Kluyveromyces lactis: one gene and its partners. The protein of the gene in region 3 purifies or fractionates together with the protein of the main gene of each other region. This does not show direct contact. Links are inferred from orthologs where the notes say so. Each region holds a gene or a part of one and is shown on either strand. Other genes may lie near its edges. The genes, in order: PRE7, RPT2 and RPN10.

Region 1 (2,096 bases), on a different chromosome or scaffold from region 3:
CATTGTGTTAATGCGCCAACAAAAATTTAAAAACCCTGTCGCATATCAAGACATGATCACCAGAGATCAATTTAAAATCAAGTTTTTAATAGTACCATGCATTCTCCTAGGATTAATTTTCAATTATCGTTTCAGTTTTATACAAATATGCTGGTCCTTCTCTCTATGGTTGGAAAGTGTTGCAATCCTTCCTCAATTGTTTATGTTGACTAAAACAGGTAAAGCAAAACAATTGACATCTCATTATATTTTTGCATTGGGGTTATACCGTGCCTTGTACATTCCAAATTGGATATGGAGGTATTATACCGAAGAAAGATTCGATAAATTATCAGTTTTCACCGGTGTGATTCAAACTTTAGTGTACTCTGATTTCTTCTACATCTATTATCAGAAGGTTATCAAACTCGGTGGAGATTTAGAATTACCACAATAGATGACAGGATTTGCATCTCCACTTGCAGTCAGTTCGGAAGCTTTCTTCAGATTGATCGAAGCGAATAAAACACTATCTTATATTTTACTATATATATATATATATTGTACACTAAGATTCAGAAACTTTATCAAAAAGATTTCGTAAAAAAAATTGAGTGTAACTTAATCTCTCTTTAAATCGAAGTATTCTTTTCTTACACCATCCTTTGTGACAATCAAAATCTCTAGACCATCACCAACGTTGATATGTCTCTCAGTAGCAGATGTGAACGCATCTCTTACTAATTTGATAACTTCTTCCACACCTAAGTATTTAACTTCTTTGCGTTTAGTACCATTAGAATCAGGCTCATACTGGTTCTTTAAATTCACTTGGTTATCCAAAAATGGCATGATTAAGGAGGCCGCAGAGCCACCTGCCCTGCACTGTTCCCTTTCATAAGAGCCCACTGGATCGAAAGAGTATACGGCCCCCTTACCTTCTTCATCTAATCCAGCAATAATGGTATGAACATAATATGGGAACATTCTCTTTCCGTATAGTAGATGTTGGATATTCCTGGCCGCACTCTTTATCGTTAGCTTCTTGTTGTGATTGAAATGATACCACATTTGACTGTTTTTAAACCTTTTCACTAAAGCTTCACCGTCAGCTGCAAACCCATTCGCACTGATTAGAATGTTGTCTTCACATTCGAACACCTTTGGTTCATATCTTGAATTGATAGAATAATCTGTCGTGTGTCTGGTATCTCCTGCTAAAACGGCGAAGTCTTCCCCTGCAATTCCAAGAATTGTACCACCATTATCAGAATATGGGTTAAATTGGTGTTGAATAGGCACCTTGGAAAGTTCGTTTCCGTATTCTGAAGCAGTTGTTGCCATTTTATTGTACGGTGTGCTTGTTGAGTTTCTAGGTTTAGTGTTAGAGATGGTTGCTAATTTACTGGGCTCTGATGTTTTAAACGGTGGCAAAGGTTCAGCATATCACTTATTTTCTGCTATTATATTAAAGTACGTTCACTTAAAACAAGAGAAATCTAAAGCACGTGACCTCATTTGTCTGTTATAGTAATGGCTGAACATATCATTATTTGACGTAAGGCAAATTACCCATAGATATTGTGCTACTATACAGTTATATTGTATGGATTCAGTTCGATTGAACAGCATTTATGTAATGATAAACGAATGCCACGGTATGCATCACTGTTTCGAAGTCCACATGTTCGTTGACAGAGTGAATAGTACCAAGGGTATCTTTACTGGCAAATCCAGGTTGGAATCTGTAGATGTTTTCTGTCAAGGATAGGTAGTGCAAGCAATCTGTGTTCCCACTCATTATTGTTGGGGCGATAACAAGTTCTGTTGAATCTTCCTCCAACTTGGTTGGGAAAACGATATCTTCGTAGAAAGATTTTACTGTACCGGCAAAGTGTTTCCATGCATCGTTGTTTGGTGCGGGTGGAGCTGGGTCCTTTCCAACAACTACTTCAACAAAAAAAGTTCCATGTTCGGTAGGTTTAATTAGCTCATCGCCATTATATTCTAAACCAAGGTCATTTTCGTTGGATATCTCTTTGAGTTGGTTAATAAACTTTGTCATAGTCTCGTTCACAGTAGATTCGAGAGCTATCCTTGAGTTTATCAACACTGAT
Region 2 (3,275 bases), on a different chromosome or scaffold from region 3:
ACCTCAGAAAAAAATTGACACGCCTTGAACCCTCACAAATACCAATAATGGAACTTATCCAGTTATATAGCTCCTTGAAAAGACCACAAAGTTTTGTCAGTCCTTAAATATGAACTAATTGAACTTTTATCAAAAAAATTCCAATCAATAATGCAGTTGTTAGAAACGAGATAAGGAAAAAAATTGACAATAACTAATTGTGCTTTCTCTCGCAATCACAAGTCACAGGTTTCTTCACCTCGTATATACTGCAAGGCTCTTGTTAGTTTGCAGTTTATTTCTACTCATCTCATTATACTGTTGTCCTTTCAATCTTTAAAACATTTAAAGTTCAACTTTTCGTAATTTCTATATTTATCGTTTCCCTCTATCTGCCCGAAAAGTTGTGAAAGTGTAAAAGGTTAAAAATACAAACTTAGATTGATAAATCATTGCATAAATGTTGGCGGCAGGGAGATTGAATTTGGATATGTGAAGATATTAAAGATATTAAACTGTAGTATATATATATATATATATATATATATATATGAAGATTAATCCCTACTTATAAGTACAAACCTTCCAAGTTTTCTTCAACCTTATTTTTGAGTACACGTTCTTTTGCTTCCTTGAAATCTTGTGCTGTGACTTGCATTCTTCTTTCTCTTAGAGCCAAAAGCCCCGCTTCTGTACACATTGCTTTGATGTCTGCACCTGATAGGTCATCTTTTGAAGTGACCAAATTATCTAGGTCTACGTCCTCTGCTAAGTTCATCTTAGATGTATGAATACCGACGATTTTTCTCTTTGTTGTTATATCGGGGTTTTCGAACAAAATCTTACGGTCGATTCTTCCGGGTCTGATCAAAGCTGGATCTAAACTTTCGATTTTGTTTGTAGCCATGATGACTTTCACATCACCTCTATCATCAAACCCGTCCAATTGGTTTAAAAGTTCCAACATAGTTCTTTGAATCTCTTTCTCACCGCCACTGTTTGATTCATATCTCTTGGTACCAATAGCATCGATTTCATCGATAAAGACTATACTTGGCGCATTCTCTGCAGCGACTTTGAAAATTTGTCTACAGAGTCTTGGACCGTCACCTAGATATTTCTGAATCAATTCGGATCCCACAATTCTTAAAAATGTAGCAGAAGTCTGGTTCGCCACAGCCTTTGCCAATAACGTCTTACCTGTACCTGGAGCACCATACAATATGACACCCTTTGGTGGTTTGATACCCATTTCTTCGTATAGTTCAGGATGCGTTAGTGGCAACTCGACTGCTTCTTTAATCTCTTGAATTTGTGCCTCTAATCCACCGATATCACTGTAGTTTTCTGTTGGTGATTTATCCATCTTCATCACAGAAACCATTGGATCGGCATCGTCTTGCAAGACACCAACAACTGACATGGTCTTATGGTGTAATAACACAGAACAGCCGGGTTCTAATAGCTCTTTGTCAACAAAGGACAAAATGGAAACGTAGTAGTCTGGTGTCGTAGGGCTTGTCACTATAGCATGGTCATCGTCCACAATTTCTTCTAAAGTACCAATAGATAACGGAGTACCTCTGATATCGTCTAGCTGCTTCTTTTCTTCCTCTTGTTTCTTCTCAAATGGTTTCAAGATCTCAGAGTTTGTCACATACTCTTCTTCCAATAGCAAATGATCTTTTATACGTTCCATTCTCAAAAGTTTTAACTTACATCTTGTGCTTGGATAAACGCTAGGAAGTTTCTCCACCGTAGAGGGCCCCTTTCTCTTCTTTCTACCGAATTTTGATTCTACTGGTGGCTCATATTTTGGCTTTTGTTTCTTATCCTTTTTCTTCTGCCCATGAGAAGAAGCTCCTTGACCCATTGTTCGTGCTGTAACTTAACTTATACCTTGATGCCTTACTGCCAGCTAATAGTTCGTGCCTCAATGCAACTCGATAATTGGACGGTAACAAGCTGATATACCTAATGTTGTGCTGTTAGGCGTGTATCTTGTAAAGGTTGATCTTTAATTTCGCCACTGGCTTTTCTAATATTTAGTTATTCCAAATCCTGACTTTTGATATAAAATGAAATAATAACAGATGAAAACAGTTTGAATGCTGTGAGTTGGCAAGAAAAAGGTGAAGGAAAGTAGCATCAATACTGCATCTTACCATCGGTATAAGTCTCTATCTTACTAATTTTAACCATGAATGATGACGATGGTGCCAAGCGTGGTAATATCAATGAACTAATCCAACAATTTTTGAGTATTATTCCTGAAGAATTTTTCGAAGAGTATTATAGAAAGAACAGCGATCCTAAGATCAAAGACGAACCGGTTTCTAAATCCAAGGGGACCAGTGCAAATGCTAACAAGCCCACAAAGGGACAAATTCTAACGCAGGCGGTAGAATACGTGAATTCGTTACAGGAACAAGTCGATCTCAAGAACAGAGAAGAAGTCGAGCTGATACTAAGAGTTAAAGAATTGTGCAAGGAAACAGGGTACATTGTCAACGATTTGAACCTTGATAACACAAGCGCGGAGTTAGCGTTGTCCAGAATCGGCGTTGGTCCGTTAGCTGGCATGAGGGAGCAACCGAACAACAAAGGATCTAAAAACCAATTTGCCGGTACCAGTGCCGGAGCCAGCATTGATGCTGCCGCAGGAAATACCACTAGTAAAACCCCTGGCACCGCTGCCATGTCACCTGTGCCGCCAACAGGTTCGGTTGGTCCAGCAGGTATAGCAGCAGCAGCGCCAAAAGAAGGACCCAAGTATAGATTCGAATACGGTGGTTATAGTGAATACAACAATGAACCCTGAAATACAATAAAGAACCAAGTCACGTGTCATGATTAAGTCACGTGATACTATCACAACTGACGAAGAAAACATGGTCCAGCTTCGAATTTTTTCTAAAGCGAAAACACGAAACAAACTAAAACCCCGAAGACATATTTGAAAAGAACATGGCAACCACCTAATTATACCGGGTAGTGACGACCAGCAGACTTATCCGGCGACAGTTTCAGACATTTGGATCCGTGCGCATCCTTGATTGTTGAATTCTAGGTACAAGAGGTGGTAGAAGAGGCGTTGTTTCTCTCTGAAGTGCACTTTCGCCGTCTATCTTTTTTCCTTCTCCTTTGAAGACTAAAGCCAATAATTCTTTTCTTTTTAACTTTAATATCGTAAAGTTTAAGCGAATTGTTCTGGGTAGAGTCAGTGCCAGTTTTCTGTTTCTGTTGTTAAGAGAGTACGATTGGGGTATCCGATTTAATTGCTCATTGTTACTAGC
Region 3 (2,455 bases):
GAACGCAGATCCTTGCATTTGAGAGCTGACGCCGATACTCAAAGTATTATTTCTAATTGTAACATTCGTACCAGAAGTTGCATCAGATGAACCGGTACCTTGAAAGTTATACCTTGCAGAAGATTTGGTGCTGATGGCATCGCTTTGCACTGATGACAGGGCATCCCTGTCCCTTGGAACAGGCCTTGATCCTGACCTTAGGTTAGAAAATATAAGTTCCCCGGGAGGCATGTCTTAAGGAAGACGACTAGGGATCCTTGACAATTGATCAATTTCACTGCTTCTACAATGCAAACTGGAGAAAAAAAGTACAATGAGGTTGAGTGGATGAGTTTTCTTCATCCATATGTGTTTTGTCTTGTCTGCATCTTGATATTTTTCAAATTATTGGTTTTTTCGTAGATTATTGTTGAAAGGGTACAAAATATATATCACGTGAATAGGACAATGTTCATACATGGACATGTTCGAAGCTTAATAGTTAATACCATGAGAACTTGCAGTAAACCATGAACTGAAGTTGGCTTTCTCGATATTGGGAGAGGGTACAATATTAAGAAGTTGAGTTGTTAAAGGGCCATGTTATGACGATTTACTGGGTCATTAGTATACAGAATAGATACCTATATGAGACGGAGGTTGTTAAGAATGCGGAAGTTTAAAGGAATGACTTACTCTGTCGAGTTTTGTCTTATGCGTTCCTGTCTTTCCTGTTCTTCTTGCATAGATAAGCGCAATGCCATTGCCAATTCAGGATCTAGGGATGGATCAACACCAAAGTCCATAAAATCGTCATTACCTCCCATTGAGAAGCCAGCCTCAGCAGCAGGACCTTCAAGTACAATAGGCGATGCTGCTACATGCTCGTAGAGTAGTTTGGGGCCTGCATCAATGTTCAAAAGAGTAGATTTACTATCCTCTTGCCCACTGTTGACCGTTTCTACGAATTCCTCCAATAGGTCAGCGTTCGTATCAGTTTCACCGAAATTGATAACATCAACCGCAATGCTATTTTTCTTCAACTTCTTTGCCATCTTAATCAAATCCTGTCTATCCTCAGTGATTGGACTACAAACGAATATAATAATCCTTTGACGCTGTACTCTATTTTGTCTATGTTTCAAAGTCAATGCAGCAATCTGTATGGCAGTGGCAAAATGGATGGACCCTCCAATATTGATATCATGTAGTCCGCTCAAGATCTTACCGAATTCGTTTGTGAATGTGGATAAAACTTTTGGGTTTGCCTCGGCAGCAGATACCAACCCTATAGTGTTCTCTGGATTACTGTTTCTTTTCGCCTGGAAAATATACTCAACGGCATCAACTTGTGCCACAAATCGAGTTCTTGGAAAGTCACCGTTCCTGGCATATTCCGAGTTATCAACAACCAATACAGTAGCTTCTAAAACCATCTCTCTTTCCTTAATATATCTGTTCTAAAATGATTCCAAATAAGAGAATAATTCAATCAAAGACTACAAAAAATTATCTCGCTTTAAAATAGAATAGCGGTACGCAATCTTAATTGATATAGAATGGGTTCAGCAACTTAATTATCCATTAGTTAACCTTCTTTTCCCTGGTGGCAACTGTAGCTAGGAACTACTTCTTTTCTCTATATTAAATATTAACCTAACTTTACTTTGAACCAAATTACCCACTAGATTAATAAATCCGGGTAATAAAAATCCAATCTCTCTTTTTCTTCCCCTTCACGCAGATCAATCTGCAGGGCCTTCTGTCGTTCTCCGTATTATGGCAGAAACTTCGCAAACTCTCTGTCAAAACCAAAAGTTAAGGTTTCGGATCTTTATATAAGTAAACAAACAGGTGAAATAATGAAGATCAAGCACTTGAGATTTTATCCGCCGAAGTGACTAATAGAGAAACAGTGATGAGTACCGGCGAAGATGGTTCCAAAAACGGGCAGCATATTACTGAAAAGCAACGAGAGAAGATTCGAAGTGCGTTAATAACTCGCCAGGAAGAGAAACTGCAAGAGGCCCTGAATGAGATAGAGAGAGTGAAAGGTAACACCAAAGAGATGCTGGAATCTGTGATTTCTACGTGGAAAGAGAAGGCTAAATTGAGGGATGGAACTATCCAGGAAACCCTGGACCGTGAAAGGGCTGGTGATGTTTAGAAGTGCATTTAAAATCGTTTAACCAAATCGAAGAACGGATGCCGGGGACTTCAGAACGAACTCCCACGTGACCATGCCTAAGATCGAAAGACTGTTTCCCCCCAATTCTGTGGTGATATTAAAGTGGGCGAGAAATCCAATTAGTGCTCCGGGTGATTAATAGTCACGTGTAATGATTTCCCACGTGATGTTTTTTTGTTGGTCAAGAAGTCTTACCATACACAAACACCACGGTTTTCTTTTTTTTTTTTTTTTTGTTGTGAAAGAGTAATCCACTGTTATCTTACCAGTCAGCAGGTAAACATCTGA

What was found.
Region 1: the proteins of RPN10 (region 3) and PRE7 purify together in Saccharomyces cerevisiae (affinity purification with mass spectrometry, with the first as the bait; 3 studies listed by BioGRID). This does not show direct contact. The link is inferred for Kluyveromyces lactis from reciprocal best matches to the Saccharomyces cerevisiae genes RPN10 and PRE7.
Region 2: the proteins of RPN10 (region 3) and RPT2 purify together in Saccharomyces cerevisiae (affinity purification with mass spectrometry; 5 studies listed by BioGRID). This does not show direct contact. The link is inferred for Kluyveromyces lactis from reciprocal best matches to the Saccharomyces cerevisiae genes RPN10 and RPT2.

The regions. Positions count from the first base shown.
Region 1 is NC_006041.1:502,268-504,363, forward strand, and holds PRE7 (proteasome core particle subunit beta 6), read right to left. Parts: upstream 1,324-2,096; coding exon 601-1,323; downstream 1-600. Other genes in the region: ERD2 (Erd2p), read left to right, coding at 1-436; KLLA0_E05655g (M20 family metallopeptidase), read right to left, coding at 1,592-2,096. UniProt on the Saccharomyces cerevisiae protein: Non-catalytic component of the proteasome which degrades poly-ubiquitinated proteins in the cytoplasm and in the nucleus. It is essential for the regulated turnover of proteins and for the removal of misfolded proteins.
Region 2 is NC_006042.1:1,360,541-1,363,815, reverse strand, and holds RPT2 (proteasome regulatory particle base subunit RPT2), read right to left. Parts: upstream 1,853-3,275; coding exon 548-1,852; downstream 1-547. Other genes in the region: RTG1 (Rtg1p), read left to right, coding at 2,180-2,800. UniProt on the Saccharomyces cerevisiae protein: The 26S proteasome is involved in the ATP-dependent degradation of ubiquitinated proteins. The regulatory (or ATPase) complex confers ATP dependency and substrate specificity to the 26S complex. Has ATPase activity.
Region 3 is NC_006038.1:356,641-359,095, forward strand, and holds RPN10 (proteasome regulatory particle base subunit RPN10), read right to left. Parts: upstream 1,416-2,455; coding exon 672-1,415; downstream 1-671. Other genes in the region: GTPase-activating protein IML1, read right to left, coding at 1-231; KLLA0_B03927g (uncharacterized protein), read left to right, coding at 1,898-2,146. UniProt on the Saccharomyces cerevisiae protein: Multiubiquitin binding protein.